Linked DNA regions of Macaca mulatta. The protein of the gene in region 1 interacts with the protein of each later gene in a pairwise test. Links are inferred from orthologs where the notes say so. Each region holds a gene or a part of one and is shown on either strand. Other genes may lie near its edges.

What was found.
Region 2: the proteins of MAP2K3 (region 1) and PDGFRA come close enough for resonance energy transfer, tested with the Homo sapiens proteins (2 studies listed by BioGRID). The link is inferred for Macaca mulatta from reciprocal best matches to the Homo sapiens genes MAP2K3 and PDGFRA.

What each region holds. Positions count from the first base shown.
Region 1 is NC_133421.1:22,177,257-22,187,200, forward strand, and holds the start of MAP2K3 (dual specificity mitogen-activated protein kinase kinase 3), read left to right. Parts: upstream 1-3,940; 5' UTR 3,941-4,061; coding exon 4,062-4,110; intron 4,111-9,944. UniProt on the Homo sapiens protein: Dual specificity kinase. Is activated by cytokines and environmental stress in vivo. Catalyzes the concomitant phosphorylation of a threonine and a tyrosine residue in the MAP kinase p38.
Region 2 is NC_133410.1:79,260,269-79,270,265, reverse strand, and holds the start of PDGFRA (platelet-derived growth factor receptor alpha), read left to right. Parts: upstream 1-3,782; 5' UTR 3,783-3,952; intron 3,953-6,523; exon of another isoform or gene 6,524-6,721; intron 6,722-7,474; exon of another isoform or gene 7,475-7,977; intron 7,978-9,997. UniProt on the Homo sapiens protein: Tyrosine-protein kinase that acts as a cell-surface receptor for PDGFA, PDGFB and PDGFC and plays an essential role in the regulation of embryonic development, cell proliferation, survival and chemotaxis.

The DNA.
Region 1 (9,944 bases):
TCCTGGGCTTGGGTCAGCCTCTCTCTCTTTCTCTCTTTTTTTCCCATCATCAATATTTATTGAGCATTTACAGTGTACTAGGCAAAATAGAACATACAGAAAACATTGTCCCTGCTCTTGAGGAGCTTACATTCTAAAAGAAAAAATACAGCTCTTTTTTTTTTTTTTTTTTGAGACGGAGTCTCGCTCTGTCGCCCAGGCTGGAGTGCAGTGGCCGGATCTCAGCTCACTGCAAGCTCCGCCTCCCGGGTTCATGCCATTCTCCTGCCTCAGCCTCCCGAGTAGCTGGGACTACAGGCGCCCGCCACCTCGCCCGGCTAGTTTTTTGTATTTTTTAGTAGAGACGGGGTTTCACCGTGTTAACCAGGATGGTCTCGATCTCCCGACCTCGTGATCCGCCCGTCTCGGCCTCCCAAAGTGCTGGGATTACAGGCTTGAGCCACCGCGCCCGGCCCAGCTCTTTTAAAATGGCATTTTTGTTTGGTATTTTCTGCAAAGCACCAAGGAAATATTTTGTAAAGTGAGCTTTGGGTATAACTTAGCCCCATCATTATTTAGAGAATAGAGGAAGAGGAAGGATTTTAAAGGCAGACAATGACAGACCATTCAGGATAGGTAGGGTTTTAAAGGGAGATAAACACAATGTCATCAACTAAGGAGAGATTTGCTGCAGTAAATAGGATGAGGGAAATAGTCTGTGGGGTGCAAGCAAAGGAAGCAGGGTGTCGTAGACATTGAGTGGAGCCAAAAAGATCATGCGGCCTTTTTCCAAGTATGTGGCCACCAAGTACGAATGGTTGGTGACAAGACAAAAGGCTAAAAAAGGAAGGTAATCTCGTGCACCTGACAAATAGAAAGACTAAAGGATCAAAATCGAAAGCAGGCTCTAAGAGTATCAAGAAATTCTTAAAAACCCAAAAGTGATTTGGAAGCACAAAACTTATAGTTAATGCTATTGAGTCAGCCTCTTTCTACAGCCTTCTGTCACCCCAGGTCCTGTCCACCTCAGATCATGCTTGCATCCTGACTTTGGCCACAATCCTTCCCATCCAGAGACTGAGTTTCCTGCATCCGCAGACAGCGGGTTTGGGACTTTTCTCCTAGGAGTCAAGGTAAGAGGCAGCCTCTTGTGACCCATGTCAAACATTTCTTCTGATTTCTGCATGGTCATGGAGTTCCCCAGCCTTACTGTGCCACTTACAGACAGAAAGAAATCAAGAGATGTCACTATAGCAAGCCGGCAAGAGACCTTTGTCTCTGATGGTCCTTGATCGTACTTCTTGAGCTGCAGCAATGCAGCTGTGCATCCCAGTCTGGCCCCTCACCCTGTCCTCATGTGTGGCCCTTTTTACATCTCCAACCCATCGCCTCTGCTGTTCCTTTCCAGCGATGCTCTTCTTGCCTCTCTGCCTGGCAAGCTCCTACTGGTCCTTAAAGTTCCAGTCTCAAAATCACCTCCTCTGAGAGGCCTTCCCTGACCGCACCCAGATGGAGATGCCTGCATCACCCAGGCACCCTACTGGGACTTTTGCACATGCATCTATTTATAGCACTCACATGGAGTTTTGTGATTCCTGGGCTGTTTATCGGGCTCCTGACTAATCTACAAACTGCTTGTTTGCAAGGGCCCGTCTGAGTCATCTGGCTGCCAAGGAGGTTGGCACGGGACTGGAGTCGCTTCACCCTGGTCTGTGGATGCTTTCCTCCTTCCTTTTTTCATTCCTCAAATATTTATCAGGCACCTACTATGTACCTGGTTCTGGGCTGTGTATTGGGAACACAGCAGGGAATGAGGCGCAGATGGTCTGGAGGGAGAGCTGTGTTAAAAACTGAGTCAGTGACAAAGGCATCAGCAGCATGAGTGTTGTGCCTCAGTTTGGGGACCTGGGAAGGGAAGGTCCCCAAACTGATGGGAAGGCTTCTTAGGCGTGTTCATTTAGGAGGCAGTCTGAGGGATGAGAGGGAACCAGCCCCAGGAGGCTTGAGTGGAGGAATGTTCTGGGTGGAAGCAGCAAGGGTGAAGCTCCTGCAGCAGGACCATCACTGGCACATTTGAGGGGCAACACTAAGACTCTTGAACATCCCAAGGAGCAGAGTGCACAAGGCAGAGTGTCGGGGAGCAGAAGTCAAGGCTGTTGGCCGGTGCCTGAATCCAGAAAACTTGCTGGACCAGCCTTTCAGTTCTGGTAGAAAGGAAACTGCTACTGGATGCCCATTTTATGGATGGATAAGCGCAGGTCACCAGGGATGATACGGCCAGGATGGAGGCAGCCAACAGTGTTTTTGAACTCACATTTCCCGGGCACTTAGTGAGGGCCAGGCCCTAGGCCAGGTGTTCCCACTCCTGAACTCATGAAATGCTTTCAGAGACCTTCTTGTCCCCATGGGATAGGTAAACTGAGGCACAGAGCTGCTCAGTGACTTCTTTAAGGACATCCAGCTAGTAAGTGGAGGAATTGGTATTGGAACTCACACCTGTCTGAGCCCCAGACTCATGATTTTCCATCCCACTGCCTGTGAACAGGAGACGCAGGAAGAGAATGGTGATGGCTGCAAGGCTTCCCTCCTATCTCATGTGGCCCTCCCCACTCTGTGTGCATGGGGCCCTGCATCACCCCCACTTTACACCTGGGCAAGCAGAGGTCAGGCCCGGCCTCAAGCGTTTCTAGCAGGTGGTGGAATCTGCTTCCCTCACGTGAGGTCCCTGACAGGGTACACACTCATGTCTGCCTGGAGGCCAGGGGCTGACCCCTTGACCTTTGCCTGGTACCTTCTGCCTTCACTAGCACTGACTTTACATCCAGAGTCATCTGATCCCAGCGCCAGATTGGTCAGCGGTTCCTGAAATCCCCCAAGGTTCCGTGTGGGAGCAAAGAGAGGACTGGTCCATCCAGCCATTATACAGATGGGCAGACTGAGATCTTAGGAGGAGAGGAGAGAACCAAGGTCCAGGAGAGAGCCAGGATGGGGCCTCCGGGCTCGTGGGATAAAATGCACCGCATGCTGCCTCACTCCCTCTGAGACAGTTTCCCCCGGTGTAGAACAGGGGCAGCAACAACCAGCCACGACAACTCCTCGTGTTGCCTCGTCACCGGGCATCGCTGAGCTCACCACCAACCCCGCGCCCTGGCCGGGCGCCTGGAGCGCGGGCGCGGGCGGACGTTTGCTGGCGCCGGGCCCTCAGTGCGTGTCAGCGAGCAGCGCCGTCAGACGGCTGTCACCGCCGCCCGCTCACAGATGCGTAGACTGAGGCTCAGGTGTCACGACCTGACCAAGGCTAGTTCCGCTACAAAGTTGCCGACTCGGATCTGAACCCGGGTCAAATTTACAGAAAAGGAAACTGAAGCCCAGAGACACCAGGGAGCTTGCTGGGGTGAGGCAGCTGCAGGTTCAGAGAGCCAGGAGGCAGCCCAGCAGCGCACTTTTAACCCCCGCCCGCCTCGCCAGGCCCAGCCGTGCCACCTTTAGGGATCTCGGGTTTTTTCCAGACGACGCACCCGGGAGAACGCGCCCACTCATCGCACCCGCCGGGGCTGCGCGTCTGGGGGTGCTGGGCGGAGCCTGGCGCTTGCAAGGAGCAGCGGGCTCAGTGGGTCCCGGGAGTGGGTGGGGCTTGCGTGTTGACGGGCAGCGCGAGGGGCGCGGCTTTAGTCCAGGTGGGCGGAGCCTGACCGGACTTGGGTTTTTCGGGCGGCTGGCAGACTTGACAGAGAGCGGGAGGGGCCCGGATCCTGGGCCCACGGAGGGTGGGGCGTGTAATTGACAGGCAGGGACAGACCGGCGTCTGATAGGCAGGGGACGGGCCTTGGAAACGAAAGGGCCAATCGGACACGCAGGGGCGGGGCCTGAGTCAGCGCCGTTCGGCCGGGGTCCCCCCGGCGCTGCCCAGTCTGGCTCCGGCGCCGCCCGTCGCGGACTCGTCCTTGCAGTAGTCGCCGCCGCCGCCTCTGCTCCTCCGCCTGGCCCGGGCCGTCTGCCCGCAGCCATGAGCGTGCTCGGCCCCGGTGGAGCCCGCAGTCCTCTAGATTAGTCCCCACCGCCGTCCAGGACCCGCTTGCAGCATGGAGTCGCCCGCCTCAAGCCAGCCCGCCAGCATGCCCCAGTCCAAAGGTAGGCGATCCCGGCCGGAACCTCGGCCTGACCCCGCGCCCAATCTGGGGCCGGGCTGCAAACCCCGACCGAATTTCTTTGGTCCCACCCCATCCTGTTCTCGACCTGGCAGCGGCGTCCGGTCCCGGAACCCCTTCCTGTTCGGGGCCCCGGGACCGGCCGCAGCCTGGGTCCTCACCTGGACCCCCAGGTTAGGCCTTGGGACTGCATTCAGGCCCGAGATCACCCAGGCTGGACCCAGACTAGGACTTTGTTCTGCTCACCCCATCCAAGTCAGGAGCCTCACTCTGACCTCATTTGGGCCTTATGGCTGTAGCCTGGACAGGAACTCTCTCAGTCTTCTCCCTCAGAGGGACCCAGGTGAGATTCACACTGGCCTCCATCTGCGTCCTTGGGCAGCACCCACTCCCATTTCCAACTTGGGGTCCCAGGGCTGTATCCAGGCTGGGATTTAACTTAAGTCTCCATCTGGGCCCCAGAGTGCTTCTGTTGTTTCGGACCTCACTGTACCCGCTATGCGGGTGCTCTGGCTACACCCCAGCTCGGAACTCCCCGTCCTTCTCTCCTCCAGCTCTTCTTATCCTTATAGGCCCTATGTTGCCCCTTCCCTGGCTGGCCTGCACCCTGTCCTGCAGCCCTGTGCTCCCAGGAACCTCCCTTGTCCTCCCACCCCTCCCTAAGGTACAGCCCCCTCTCTACTGGCTTCTCTCTGTCTTGAGTTGCAAGCTTCTCCCTGCACTTGGGGTTCTCACCCCATCTTATTCCTCTCCTGGCTGCCTGGGATCTGGGCCAACCGCCAGGCCAGGGTGCTGGCTGTGCAAGGGATTTGCTCTTCTCCAAGTAGCTGGCCTTCCTGGAAATTTTTGTGAGGTGGCAGCAGCAGCAGGATTTGTCATGCGGAGGGGGAAGGATGAGACTCGGAGGGCAAAAGGGGAATTTTTTTTTCAGGAAGAGGAAAGGATGTTTTTGGTGCGTCGGAGTTTCAGTAGGCTGGGTTGTGTGAGAGATTTCCAAACCGGACGTAGCCGTAATGAATGGGCTGCCTCCTGCCTAGCTGAACCTGCAGCTGCTTCACCCCAGCAAGCTCCCTGGTGTCTCTGGGCCTCAGTTTCCTTTTCTGTAAATTGGAAGTAATCACACCTGCTTCTGTGGACGCGGGAGTGTGGCGTGGGGTGGTGAATACAAAAGAGCTCTGAGGTGTTCACTCAGCATAGCGCCTGGCGGAGAGCCGGCGCTCACCAGGGGACACTGGCTGCACACATCTCGCTATTGTTTCCATTCTTCTTGCTGGAAAGGCCTCCACTGCTGGAACTGCAGCCGCAGAGTGAGCAGGAGGAAGCATCTAGCAGCGGGCACCTAGTGGGCCCCTCATCGGGGATCAGCCGCTCTTCTGCTCTGGAGGGCGCAGGCCAGTGGGAGCCCTGTGGGGGCTTGGGGAGGGCACGGGCTCTTCCTGGCCCCTGCTGCTGGCTGCTGTGGTGGCTGGAGCCGGGTGGGCAGGATAATTATGCCTTACATAAGTGGGAGGCCGGATCCCTGACCATTGCCCAACCACTGTGAGTAACTCAGGAGGCACTTGAGGGGGGAGGTGTCTGGGGAGGGACTTGCACTGCCCAGACCTCGTGGAGCTTGGGAACCAGGAAATCAGACACTTCTCCACTCTGGAGAGCCTGGGGAAGGGTAGGAAGCCCTGTTTGTTTTGGAGGCTTTTTAGCTCTCCAGGCAGAGAATGCCTGATCAAAATAAAAGTTCCAGTTGCAGAGTTGTGAAGGGAGAGGGGTCATAGATGTGGTAAGAACGCTGTGAGAGGGCCAAGATGAACTTCTAGATAGGGACCCAGGTCGCAGATGAAATTGAGGGAGCTGGATGGAGGGTCAGGGACCTCCCTCAGGCCCAGCGACCCTGTAGTCTCTTTGGGATCTGGGGAAGGATGTGGTGACAGAGCCGCAATGCCCTTCACCAAAAACCCTATGAGCTTCTTCTTTTTTTCCATGTGCCATGCATTTTCTCATTTATTCCTCATAGCCTCATTTATAGATAAGGAAACTGAGGCGTTAAGTGCCTTGCCTGAGGCCACGCAGCTGTGACAGGCGGAGCTAGGGTTCCCCCTAGGACTGCATCCCCACAGTGGCCTTCCCCGTGCTCCCTTATGTGCCCCTCCCATGCTGGATGCCTGAGCTGAGCTGGTGGGGTGCCCCCACCCCTGGCCTTGCTCAGAGCATGTGCAGTGGGCCTGTCCTCATGGCCATGTCAGACCTAGAGGACAGACTGAGGCAGAGGTGCTGCTGCTCTTGTGCACAGTGCTTTACACTGGGCCTGTTGCATACTTGCTGCAAAATCCCACTCATTTGACAGATGCAGAACTGAGCTTGGATGGAGTAGCCGGACTGCTCCCACAGGTGGAGATCCTCACCCCGTGCCTGCCCCATCCTGGGCACTGGGCCTCCCAGCACTGAGCCCTTCTCCACCTTCTCAAAGGAATTTGAACAAAGCAGGGAGTGGCTGGCGCTTGACCTTACTGGAGCTTTACCTTTGAGCTTCCTGCCTTGCAGCAGGTACCCTGCCCTATCCTTCCTGCCATGGGCCTGGGGAGTTTTCCGTGAGCGTGTGAGGCCCTCAGGCCCACAGCTCTGTTGGTTTTCCCCTGGCCTTCTTGCCCACATGGCCATCTCTGGCTGGGATCAGAGGCCAAGTGGCCGGCGCTGGGGCCAGTGGGTGGGGGCATGTGTGCAAGCCACATTTGTCCTTGGAGGGTACCATGTGTGTCCTGTTGTCATTCAGAACGTGGGTTCTGCCCCTTCTGCCCTAAGAGTGCCACCTGTGGGGGCACTTCATGGCTAATCTTCACACAGCTTGGACTGTGGCTGTAGGACTCCTGACTGCCCAGTGGGGTCACTGAGGTTTCATGGAGCACTGTCGTATCCTAGCCCTGCCTATTGTGGCCATCCCCCATCCCCCGGCTGTCGGAAAGACTGGAGGTGGCACCTCGGGGACTTCCCCCACCCCTCTTGTGACGCACAGGAAACTCTCTGTCAGCCAACCCATGGCCCAGGGCCCAAAGGGAGCAAAGTTCTCAGTTGGCCTGTGTGAGGAGAAGGCCGGGGCAGCGGAGGCTTCCGGCGGTGAGTCAGCGGGCACTGAGTGCTGACTCACCTGCTGGGCATGCCAGCCGGCTGCCTACAGCTTAAAGGGGCGATGCCTGCTGGCCTGGTGGGTGGGGAGGGGGTTACGTGTCCTGCAGGTGGCACCTAGCCCTGAGCTGGAGCACTGGAGGTGGCCCCTTCCTGCGCCTCGGACTAGGCTGGGAACCCCTGGGCAGGCCCTCTGTGCCCCACCCAGGAACTTCCTCTGTTAGGCAAGGGGCTCTGCTTCCTCTTGCTCACAGAGCAGGAGCAGGTGGCGGTGACTGTTTACTACCCTTGGTCCAGGGGACACCTCAGGTTCAGCTGTGCATCTGGGACTCAGGGAGGGCGAGGAGCAGAGGTTGTGCAGGGTCGGCTGGGGTGGGACCCGACCTGAGCTCCTGGAAGATGGTGATGTGGAGAGGCTGAGACCTCAGTTTCCAGAGCCTGACTGCCTGGGTTCATACCCCAGCTCTGTCCCTTTTGCGATGTGACGTGGCACAAGTTGCATCCGGTCCACTCTCTGCACTCCGTAAAAGATTTCTGTCCCCTGGGCATGGCCCAGCTCTCAGAGGAGAAGCCTCCATTTCATCATCTGCAGACTGGGAACGGGGACCCTGCCTGTCTGGATGTAGACAGTTCCATTCCACACTTGCTAAGTGTCAGGCACGAGTCATAGTGAGACTGCCCTCTGCCCACAGAGAACCCAGCCGAGGCACGCTTCTGCCAGGCAGGAAGCCTGGGGGCCTGGGCTCTGCTGGGAGGGGCCTGGGTTCGAATCCTGGCTCCACTACTTCCTTACCTGGGTAAGTCTTGTGCCCTCTCTAGCCCTCAGTCTCCTCTTCTGTAAAGTGGGAGTAAACACCCTTCCTTGCAGGGTAGTGGTCGAGCTTGAAGATAGCATTTGGCAAGTGAATGGCATCTGTTATTATTTTATTATTGTTACTTTTGTGAGCGTAGTTCGTTGGTAGGTGGATAAACAGTAACAGGGCTTCGTGGCGATGGGCTCGTAGGTGCTGTGACGCGAGGCCTCTTGGCAGCAGGGTCCTTTCATGCAGGCCAGAGTTTACCAGGCTTTAGGGCCTTTTAACCCACTGGTCCCCAAGGTGGGGGCTGGGGATTGCCACTGGCCTCCTGGGCCTTCCTGGGGAGGGCAAGTGGGGAACAGAGAGCTGCCCTGCCCCAGGCTTTGGCATGCAGCATGAACAGGATGGATGCAGGGAAGGTGGGGTGGGGCCTGGAATCAGGACGCAGGCCCCTGGGCCAGCCTGGGAAGCAGGAGGGCCTGGGATTGTGGTTCTGGGGGCTCGGTCCTGAGTCAGGGGTGTTGGTGGCTTAGGAGGGGTCCCAGAGGAGGGCTGCCGGGCCGTAGCGTGGAGGACACCGCATCGTGGCAGGGCCCCACGACTGATGCCCACATGCCGCCCATGCCTGCCCTTGGCCGTGCCTCCTGGCGCTGCCCACCTCCGTCAGGCCTGTCTGCCCAGTGGCTTCTGCAGATGCCTCCCCAAAGCAGTGGCCCTGGAAACCTCAAACAGCCTCATGTCAAGGGCATGAAGGCCATATAGGGCCGGGGGAGGCCGAAGCAGCTTGCTGGGCCCCTTGCAGCTTCCAGATACCAAATCTGACTGCAGCAGCTCCAGAGAGGGCCCCAGGCGTTCTTCCCCTGACCCCAGTCCTGGGCGCATGTCCCTGTCACCTCCCTGCCCTGCATTCCAGGACCACCCTCCCTGGTTTCTCTGGGGAGGCCATGTCCAGCTGACCCTCTCCCAGCTGGTCCCCTGCCCAGGGTGGCCGGCACCACCTTCTGCCATGCGGCCCATGGCCGGGATTGCACCTGGCTCTGCTGACGCCTCCTGGTGGCTGTATGGAGTGCCCTGACTGTCCTCTCCTGCATCACTGTGCTGATGCCCCCAGGGGCTTCCAAGGCCTGTCCCAAGGTTTGCATGTGCCAGTGTGTGCGGTGATGCGATGACAGGCCGGGGGCCTGCCTCACTGGGGCAGGGCTGCGAAGGGCTGTGGATGCCAGCGGTGCATTCAGACCTAATCAGGAGGTGTGTGGGGGGTGGGGAGCACTGCTGCCTGGGAGGGTTGCTTTGGTGGTGTCAATTGGCAGCTGAGGCACACATGGGAGGCCTGCCCAGGACGGCTCTGGGTATGGGGATGGAGACAGCTCCCATCCTCTTGCCATTCTGCTCTCACCTGGCTTAGCCTTCTGGTCAACCCCACAGCCTCCTGCCGTTGGCATGGCACACTGCATCCCGGATGGCTGGGGCAGTCCCCAGGGTGGTGTGGGCAGACACTCGTTGGGCAAGTCTGCAGGGACTTCCAGGTGGCAGGGCTGGTTCTAGGCCAGCTCCGCCCTGACCCCTGTTGTGACCTTCCCCAGCCTTAGTGTCTGCTGAAGACACGAGTGAATCACACCTACCTCTCAGGGCTGCTGTCGAGGGTGAGTGAGACCCGGCAAGTCCCGGGAGCCCCTAGGTGCTAATCAGCGCTGAATTTGAAGCTGATGTCTGTGCTAGCATTTCCATCACCAAGATCCCCGTTTTTGATATCTCTCATCATCAACCCCATGCTTTGTAAGATTTTGTTAGAAATGATAAATCCCAGCCTTTGGGAGGCCAAGGCAGGAGGATCATTTGAGGGCAGGAGTTCACAACCAGCCTGGGCAACACAGGGAGAGCTCATCTCTACAAAAAACATAAAAAA
Region 2 (9,997 bases), on another chromosome or scaffold:
TTAGGAACCCTCTGCTTCTACTTCTCCTTGGAGAGCGAGCCCCTCAAACCCAGAAGAGAGGCTGCACCTTGAGATCCAGCCAACAACCACAGAGAAGAGGAGGTGGGTGCGGAGTCCTGGGGAGGGTAACTTTCACCTCAAGCTGCACAGACCCATCTCGATCTTTTTGTAGAATTCCTCCTTTTTCAAGACTTGTGCCGTTCTGAATTCTGAGCGTGCAAAGAGACTCCTTAGAGCTAGCTTACAAGCCTCAGCTGGGGCAGACCCGAGGCCAGGGCGTCCCTCTCTCTGCGAGGATCCCTCACATCTGTGCGTCGCCTCCACTACCTCCGGGCAAAGGACCCTTCCGCGCTGGACCCAGGGAGGGGGCTATTCCAGATGCAGCCAAGGGTTAAAGGGGGTGAGGGAAGGAGCAGTTCGCACCATTTTCTTTTGCAAACCACCAAACGGGCCCTTCGTTTTCAAACTGTGAAGCCAGAAACATCCTCTGTTCCCTTGCCCCGCCCATCACCATTTGAAAAAAATAATTCACAAGTTTAAACGTGATTTTCACAACTAACGGCTTTGATAACTGTTACATTCGTAAGGCTTCTAGAGCAAACGGACTTGAATTCTTCGAGGAAAGTACAATTGGGGGTGGGGCTGGAGAGCAGTGGAGGAGAAGACACAAAAAGCCAACTCAGCGGGAAGCGCCCTCAAAGCCAAAGGTGTGGCCCTCGGAGCTGCGGCCGCCCTCGCCCGGGAGTTGGGGCCGGGAGAACGGGCCCTGGAGGCAGGGCAAGGCACGGCGAGATTTTGCTTTTGTTTATAGTGACCGTTTTGATCTGGTTGTAAAAAGTTTACGAGGCCCTCTTTTTGAAGGTGAGCTCATCGACTGCACCTTTTTATGCCCTTGCTCCCAATTTCATGTCGCCTGCTGGCGTAGATGCGCAAGGCCGAGGACAGAACTGTCACAGTCCCTACCCTTTTCTCCTAACTTCCCGGCCCGGCTCAATTCGGGAGTTGAGCCTCCTTCCTCTCCGCACGCAGCCTCCCCGACTCCCCGTTTGGGGAGAAAACCCACATTCTTAACCCCTTGATAATCCCTTAAGGAAAAAACAAAACAAAAAACCCCAAGAGGCTGAAAATTAGAATCCGGGCGCGGGTTGAGATCTGCGCAGAGCTGCCCAGGCCGGTGCAGGTCGCTCCTCTCCGGGTACACGTGATGGCCTGGTACCCTCCTCCCACCTCCCGCACGGCGCCCAGTCAGAAGCACAGGAAGGGGAGAAAAGACCCGCAGCCCGCCTCAGGAGGGCAAGCTTTCTGGCCCCCTGCGGTTCCGGGGCCATCCCGGACCCAGGGCGTCGAGGGACCAATCTGGAAGGATCTTAGAACAAACACTGGGAGAACGCGGCAAGAACTCGCCCCGCCTTCACCCGACGCTCCGGACTGACTGCCGGGCGCAGACCCGACTTCTCCCGAACCAGCCTCGTACCAGCCTTAGAAGGCGGAAAACAGGATTCAAACCCGCCTATGAGCAGTGGTAGGGGCGGGGGCTGTAGGGGCAGGACTCGGTTTAAGGAACCAACCGCCTCGGTTCGAGGGTCTCCTGTCCGGAGGTTGCTCCTGACCACTGGGTTTATTTTGTTTTGCAGAGGAGGCAGATGTTGACCTCTCTTCTTTGCACAGTCTCTCCGCGAAATCTTCCCCCAACCATTTGCTTTCTTGCGCCACCCCCCACCGGGGCACTATCCCCGGAGTCAGCTCCTCAGGCCTTTAAACCTTCCAGAATGTCACACATGGAAACCTTTAACAAATGTTTGTTAATGGTCATAACAAAGGCATCATTCAAATTAGGCAGGTAATTACTACCAGAAGGACAACTGGGTGCTCGCTTGCTCATCCATTGCTTTCTGCTTTAAACTCCTGAGGAGTCGCTGCCTGGAGCCACTCCCGCCCGGGCTGCTTTTCGGGCCCCATTAAACTGCTCTGAAATGAACTGTGAAGTTACCATTTGTGGGCGGAGAGCGCTGGGGCCCTGCGGACGGAAGACCCTGGCTTGACCGGGCTAGCAGTGTCGCCGAAACAAAGCAGTCCTTCTGGGTAGGCTCTCTGTCTCGCGTCCTACCCTCTGGGGCAACTCGCCTAAAAACCCAGTTCTCAACTTAACAGCAAGAAGCCCAGCAGCCGCGTTTGCCTTTTATTCCGCACTCTGATTTTTGGGGGGAATCGTTTGTCCCGCTCATTTTCTACAAACATTACGGTATCCTGTTAGCATTCCGAACAAGGGGCTGTTCATATATTTGCCTTCAATGATTTCCTGAAGGAACATGTGGAAGTAATAGCGAGCTGTGCAGTCACCCGAGCTGAAGATGCACGAGAGCAGGTCGCGTAGAAGAGCTGGGGCAATGGGGCCCCCAGCGCAGCCCCAGGCGCCCTATTTCCGAGGCTGATACCCCAAGATCCTGTCCTAATTAGACACAGCACCGCGCCCGTTGGAGTACTTCTCTGTGACTCTCCTCTGTCCACTGCACTGTGTCCACTCCTGGTGAAGGAGGAGACGGCTGTTGGACGTGCCAGTCCCAACCTGGCCACCTTGGCCATTTTCAGAGTGCTTGTGTGGGGGTGGGGTTGAGGGAGAAGGATGAAGGATGACCCCCAACCCCAACAAGAGAATTCAAAAATCAGAGAGCGAGAAAGGTGAACGCGCTCCCATCCCCCGCTGTCGCTGGGAAGCCCCACTCTGCCCAGGTCTGGTTTCTGGAGCATCAGCGCCCCCTTTCCCTCGCCGGCAGGATCGTTTCCTCCCGACACTGGCCTCGCGCCTTGGGCGCAGGGTTTGGGGCTCAGCTGTCAACTCCGAAGCATTCGTAGGGTTCGACCCACTCGGCGGGAGGGAACGGAGGGAGAATCAAAAGGCACCCTCTCCCACGATGCGGAGGCGGCGGGACGATTCCCCAAACGCCCAAGCTTGAACTTTTTTGTATGCGAGTTAGAAGCCAGGGCAACCTCGCCCAGATAACCCCCAAAACAAAGGCACGACCAGATAAGTGACTTAAAGGGAGTAAAGGTCGTTCTATCGGAGAATGTTCCAAACCTACACAGACCCTCTTTTCTTTGTACCCTATTTCAGACTCCACCCAGTCTTGCACACACACACACACACACACCCACCCCACACACAAAACAAAAACTCATCGTTGTCATATTGGACTCAACAGTTTGCCTAATCCCGTTAAAGAACTAGCAACTATATAGCCCTTAGCCCTTCCCCTAAAAGACCCTTAGTTCAAAACCGCGCAACCGCTTGGAGATTTCTCCCGAGGGCCCTATTTCTAGTTGGGCCGAGTTTGTAGAAGGGACGTTTCTTGATTCTAGATTTATATTCTCTCTGGGTATTAAATGCAATTTTGTATGTTCCTTTTCTTGTTTTCAAAGAGAACACAAAACTATAGCAGTCTAAGAAAATAACCCCAAAATGGGGAGGCAAACTCATTCTGGAAATGATGGGCTGTTTGTAGTTTCACAAAACCGCTTTCCCGGCAGAGCACCAACACCTCCCCCTTCCACCCCCCCATCCCATCTGGTCGGCTTCTCCCCGCCCCCCCAGTTGTTGTCGAAGTCTGGGGGTTGGGACTGGACCCCCTGATTGCGTAAGAGCAAAAAGCGAAGGCGCAATCTGGAGACTGGGAGCTTCAGAGCGCAGGGGAGTTTGAGCGAAACTTTTATTTTGAAGAGACCAAGGTTCGGGGGGGGGCTTATTTCCTGACAGCTATTTACTTAGAGCAAATGATTAGTTTTAGAAGGATGGACTATAACATTGAATCAATTACAAAACGCGGTTTTTGAGCCCGTTACTGTTGGAGCTACAGGGAGAGAAACAGAGGAGGAGACTACAACAGATCATTGGAGGCCGTGGACACACTCTTTACTCCATGTGTGGGACATTCATTGCGGAATAACATAGGAGAAGGTAAGGAAGAAGAAAAAATGATTTTTTGTTTATAAGAGAAGTCCCTGATCAGACTCTGGGACTGGAGAAAGGGAAGTAACTTCAAACTTTGGGCGACAAGAAAAAAAAATGGAGCTGGATTCCAAATGTGTGTCCAGAGAGGAATTTTTTTTTTTTTTTCGGAATAAACTTCACTTGGGGATGGGTGGGAGATAACCATAGAATTAGAAAGTCTAGGGATTTTTTTTTAAACACACATTTTCCAGACCTATTTTTAAAAAACAATGTTTTTCTAACAACCCTATGGCCTCCCAAAGAAATTGTTTAGGCTTACATTTTTGAGGTTTCTTTTGGGAGTGGGGGTGGTGTTCATGAATACTGGGCCGAACACCAAGGAACTGGGGGTGGAGGCAGAGGTGTTTGCCCTCTTCTTGGCAGTGGGTCCTGGAAGGCGACAGGTTTTAAATGAGTGTTTTCATTCCTCGCCTGCGGTTTGGCGGGACAGCGCTGCAGCCCGTGGTGTGGAGCGCGGCTGGGGGACCAGGGGAGGTGGGGAGAGGGGAGCGCGGAGGGGGGCGCGGGAAGGGGTTGCTGGTCGCAGGAGGCGGGCAGGGCTCGGCTGGAGACCGGACCTCCGTGCTGGCCTGCAGCACATGGAGCCGGTCGAATGCGCGTAATTACTGGACGGCGCTGCTCTGGGTGAGAGTCCGGGCCAGATTTGGCGCAGCGGTGACGCGGCTGCGGGACAAGCAGAGGGGCGCGGGCGTGGGCAAGGGTTTGGGGCGCTCTGGAGGGGTTTGTCGGGTCAGTGAGGTGCTAGGGAGAGCGGGTGCCTGCTCGGCTGTACGCTCGGGTTGCACGCCCTAGCGCGGGGGCGACAGCGGCGGCGCGGGCGGGCGGTCTGGAATAATGACAAACACATTTGGCCCTGAGTGAAGAAGTCGATGTCGCCTCGCATTCCAGCAACTGGGATTTGAGGAATTTCGAACCGCACACCAAGGGGTCCTCATTGTGCGCCGTGGCCCCCGCCCCCGCCCGTCTCCCTGCGCCCCCTCCTCGGTGGAACCGTTTCTGCATTGCCCGGGGCTCTGCTGCCGCTCAGTTCTGGCCTCAGGCAGGAAGAGAGGAAAGGTCTCCAGGAAAGTGTCGAACTTCTTGTAAGTTAGGGACCACTTGGAACTGGGGAAATTTGTTTGCAGGTAAGAGAAAGGTGGGAGGTAAACCACATTCTCCCTCCGGGCAACTGAGCCCTGGGCACCCCCTACCCGGCGCCCCTCTCCGCGCGGGGGTGCACGGCACTTGCCGTCTGCGCTCGCCCAGCGCTGCTCGGTCCTCTCTAGTCGCCCTTTTTCTCCATTCTTCTCCCTGCCGGGTTCAGAGCCGTCTGTGCGTACTTCTCCTTCCTCTGCTGTCTACCCCCATGGAAACAAGGTTTATACACGATTAGCTCCGCCCGGCTGCGTCCGGGGAGCGGGCTGCGTCCGTTTGACTCTGAATATGTGGGATCAGCTGTTCTATTCCGAGAGGGTGACGGCCAGTTCGGAGCGACAAGGAGTGTGGCCCGACCCCAGTCCGGTTGCGGGAGGAAGCCAGGAGCCGGGGCCGGGCCAGGTGTGCGGGAACTGTCGGTGACCTGGCCTCGAGTCTTGGTCGGGAGGGACTTGCTGCCCAGGCCGGCTGTCCGTTGTGCATCCCTCCTGCAGCCAGAGGGCCGGTCCCGCACTTCGCTCCCCCAGTTCTGCTAAGACCTCAGGATGTGCGCAAAGAGTGCCTGGAAGAACTTGCCACTCACTCCATCTCCCTGGGTGGGAGGCAAGCATGGATGGGACCCCTATCAGGTCCCGACCGCCCCACGTCCGAAAAGCCCCGGGCTGGGCGGTGTGGGAAATGGCTTTTTGGCTCCGAGGCCGAATTGCTCAATGTTTTGGACCGACTCGCCTCGCCGCGGTCGCTCCTGACCAGAACTAGACAGATTTTTGGAGCAGGGAGAGGCATCCAGGGCAAACGAGGCACGACAATCCTCCGCAGTGCATCTCACCCAACAAACATCCCGCAGCCACAGAAGGGGAGGAAGGGGTCCCGGGCGTGCGCACCTCACCAGCCGCCGCGCTGTCCCACCCCCGACCCCTAATCTGGTCAATCTGGACCCCCGCACTGCCGAATTGCATCCCCTCCCTCTTCTCCCTCTCTCCTCGGCCTCCTCCTTTCCACAATCCTCACTATGAGGAGGCCCTGCCTCGCCTTCCCGACAGGCGCGAGGCCGAGCAGCCTCGCTTTGACGCACAGGTCAGGCCCTACTTCGGAGCTTGCACAGTTTTGGGTTGAGCCAAGTGCAGCTGGACCTCGTTCACAAGAGTGAGGAGGAACGAGAGTGGGGGGACGCCAAGAATGAACCCGTCGTTAGCCCCCGGTGCCCTGGCTCTTGTTTAAATCCGTAGATCGAGAGGGACTTGAAGGAGAGCCCAGGCTCCCAGCTCTCCGCCCCTGGGCCAGTTTCCTCTCGGGACGCGGACTGAGGAGGGATGCAGGGGGAGGGGCATTGGGCTGGGCTTTCCAGCTGCAAACACGTCTGGCGCCGAGGCGGGCCCATTTTGTGCCTCCTGGGGACAGACCGTGGGCGGCGCGCAGCGGCAGGACGCATTTTGGGGACGTGGTGGCCAGCGCCTTCCTGCAGACCCCGCAGGGAAGGACTCCCTCTGACCTCCGGGGAGCTGCGACCAGGTTATACGTTGCTGGTGGAAAAGTGGCAATTCTAGGAAAAGAGCTAAAAGCCTGATCAGTGACCGAAAGGTGTGGGTCTCAGGGTCCCCCTGGTCTAACTCGCCGGGTCCACCGCAGCATCAGCCTTGGGGCGGCAGATAATCTTTCGGTCTCGCCTGGGGCGCAAGATACAGGATCGGGGCAAATGGCATCTCCCAACTTCGCCCTAGTTCAGTTTCTGCCAGATGGTTGTCGTTTGCTGAAGTGGCTCGGCGGCATTTCCTTTTGTTTTAAACTGATCAGTGAGCGAACCCGGGATGGGCTGAAAAAGTAGATTGTAGGAGGGAATAATGGGAACCCCGACTTGGGGCGCCTCCTTCCCTGCCTCCTGCTGCAGTTTCTTGGCCCCCGCGAAAGGGTAGCTACAAGCGCGGGTGGGCGCGGACTTGTCAGGGGGCAGAGGCGGCTAAGGCGCGTGTCGGGCAAGCTGGCACCAGAGGGCACTTTTTTTTTTTTGGACAGAGTCTCACTCTGTCGCCCAGGCTGGAGTGCAGTGGTGCGATCTCGGCTCACTGCAACCTCCGCCTCCCGGGTTCAAGCGATTCTCCTGCCTCAGCCTCCCAAGTAACTGGGATTACAGGTGCCCGCCACCACGCCAGGCTAATTTTTGTATTTTTAGTAGAGACGGTATCACCATGTTGGCCAGGCTGGTGTCGAACTCCTGACCTCAGGTGATCCGCCCACCTCAGCCTCCCAAAGTGTTGGGATTACAGGCGTGAGCCACCGCGCCGGGCCAGGAACAGTTCTTAAATGCCGAGAGGGCGCAGGCTAGCTCTCTCCAGCATTCCATGTGAGCCGCTACCCACTGCCGGGCGGCTCTCGTGCCCATAGGAGGCGCTGGCGAGCGCCTGTAACCCTAAACCCCTCGGCCCCTTTTCCCCCACCCGCCCGGCCTCTCTTCCCGCTCTCCCCCCTCTCCCCACACCCTGCCCGGCCCCCTCTCGGGTCTCAGTTGAAAACAATGCAAACGCCGAGCTTTGTGCCTGGGGCGCGGCGGCCTTTGCAGCTCTGAGGTACAGAGTGCGGCGCGCACGGACGCAGGTCCCGGGAGCGGCTGGGCATCGCCACCAACCCCAGGACAACCGAGCCGCCGAGGGCGTGGTGGAGGCGGGAGGGCGAGCCGACCGCGCAGTGTTCCTCTGGATCCCGGGGTCAGAAACCGGACGGTGGCTGGGGCTGGACTGTCCGAGCGCAGAGCCTCCCGGGTGAAGTCTGCGCGCAGCACTCCCGGCAGCGCTGTCGGGGACCAGGAGCCTGTGCTGTGGGCTAGCGGGCCGGCGAGCCGGGTAAGATTCGCGGGGCTGTCGCGCCCTCTAGTGGGCTCTGGGGGCGCATCCCGCTTTCCCCAGCCCCGGGCGGTCGGCGCCCGGATCTCAGTGGAGCGCGGCGCTGGAACCCCGGGGGCCCGGAGCGGAGGCTAACCTGGGTCACCTTTCCTTTCCTCCGGGCCGCCAGTGGACGCCTCGCAGGCTCTGTGTGGGCCCAGAAAGCGCCGGGTGGACGAGAGGGGGCCGAGGTCGCTGGGTTTGGATTGAGAATGGAGCGTCCTTTTAGTTCAATGTGGGAGAAGCAGGGGAGGATGGAGGAGGATGGGTCCCGTGCGTTCTCGGGGGACAGGCGCCGTCTTCTGCGTTCCAGCCCCTCGCCAGCTCCCTTTCCCCTCGGGCGGCCTGTTGCTGTTTGTTTGTTATACGACCCTGCGTTATTGTGCAACGGGAACAGTCGTTTCTAATGCGCCCGCGGTTCCCGGGCTGCGCGGCCGTCGCGGCCTTCGCCAGGCTGGTTTATGAGGGGCAGTGGTGTCGCGCGGACAGATAGGGCAGCGCAGCCCGGGAACGGCGTCGCGGCCAAGGCGGTCCCCCGCCCCGAGGGGGCGGAAATGCTGAGGTGTCGAGAGCGTGGGTTTTACAGAACCCGAGTAGCGAGTCCGGCTGAGTCTCTGCGGCCTGGCCCGGCAGCGTCGTCTTCCCGGCTCCTGAAGCCCCGCTGTCCCAGCGCACCCGCTCCCAGTGATGGGGATGGTGATGGGGACGATGGGGAGATGTCCGCCTACCCCGAATTCTTCTGGGGTCCCGAGGAGATTTAGCCATTTTCAACAGCAGTTTTCGTATTTCTGCTCAAACCCCGCGGGCTTTCAACCGAGGTCGCCACGAAAGCTAAAAGTACAGCCTAAGGAAGGGGGAGACTGGAAGTTAAGATTTGGGATAGTGGAGCTCAGAATTCCTGGCAGACGCGTCTGTGTCGCAACCCCTGGACGCACGTCCTTCGACCAACACTGCCATCTGCTGGCCACTGGCAAGAACTACCGCGATCCGCTGTGAGAATGGGCTTTGCGGAGACTCCAAGCTAGTACTGGCATTAGGAGGTGCTTTTTTTTGATTGATTGATTGATTGATTGATTGATTTTTTGCTCTGTAGGACCGTAATACGTGACTGATTTTCTTTTCCTGTGAGGCTACAAGAATTGCTGGAAGACAGCATTTTTATTTCGTGGAAATTTGTGTTGTGTTTCGCCTTGGTTATTAATGCTTTGCATTTACATAGTGAACATATTATCAGAGCAGGCCTGTGAGGAAGGTAGTGGGGGGTATTGGTGTTCCCGTTTCTGAGTGAGGAGACCTATGTCGGGGCCTTGGTGACCTCAAGATAAGGTTGTGCCATTAGGAGTCACACCCGTTTGGTGACATTCAAAAGGATATGTCATTTTATTCTCCCGTGGTTAAATATCTGGTGAAAGGAGAGCACCCATGTTTATGAGCCCAGATTGTCCCATAAAACGCTCCTGTGTAAAAACACTCCAGCCTCCTCCCCTTACTGGAATGTCTGATGGAGCTCCGGGAGATCAAAACAACAAAACAGGCTCTGGTAGGGTGCAGAGGTCCTGGTAAACACACCCTCTGCTGGAAAACAGGGAGAAGTTTCCATCAGTGTAGACCTGCACTTGGGTTGCCTGGGCTGAAGTTAGGAGACTGCGTAGAAAAAGGAAGATGTGTAATTTTCACAGTTAGAATTAACTTAGGAGAGCTGAAATTAGCTGAACCTCGGAAATCTGAATCTTGAAGTCACCAGTGGCTTTGGGATTATGAGAGAGTCTCCTGTGGTCTTTAATCATGTGAGGGTGGGGTGAAATTAAATATTCAGTGGTTCTGCAATGGGATGCACTGTGCAATTGGTGATTGAGAAGCAAGCTCTCTGGCTTTAGGAGAAGAATGTCTTGCTCTTAGTCCTTCTGGAAATAGAGCCTTGCATTGCCTGCTGTCTCTTTACACTGCCTTGGGTTATACAGTCGTGTTCAATGGCTCTTTA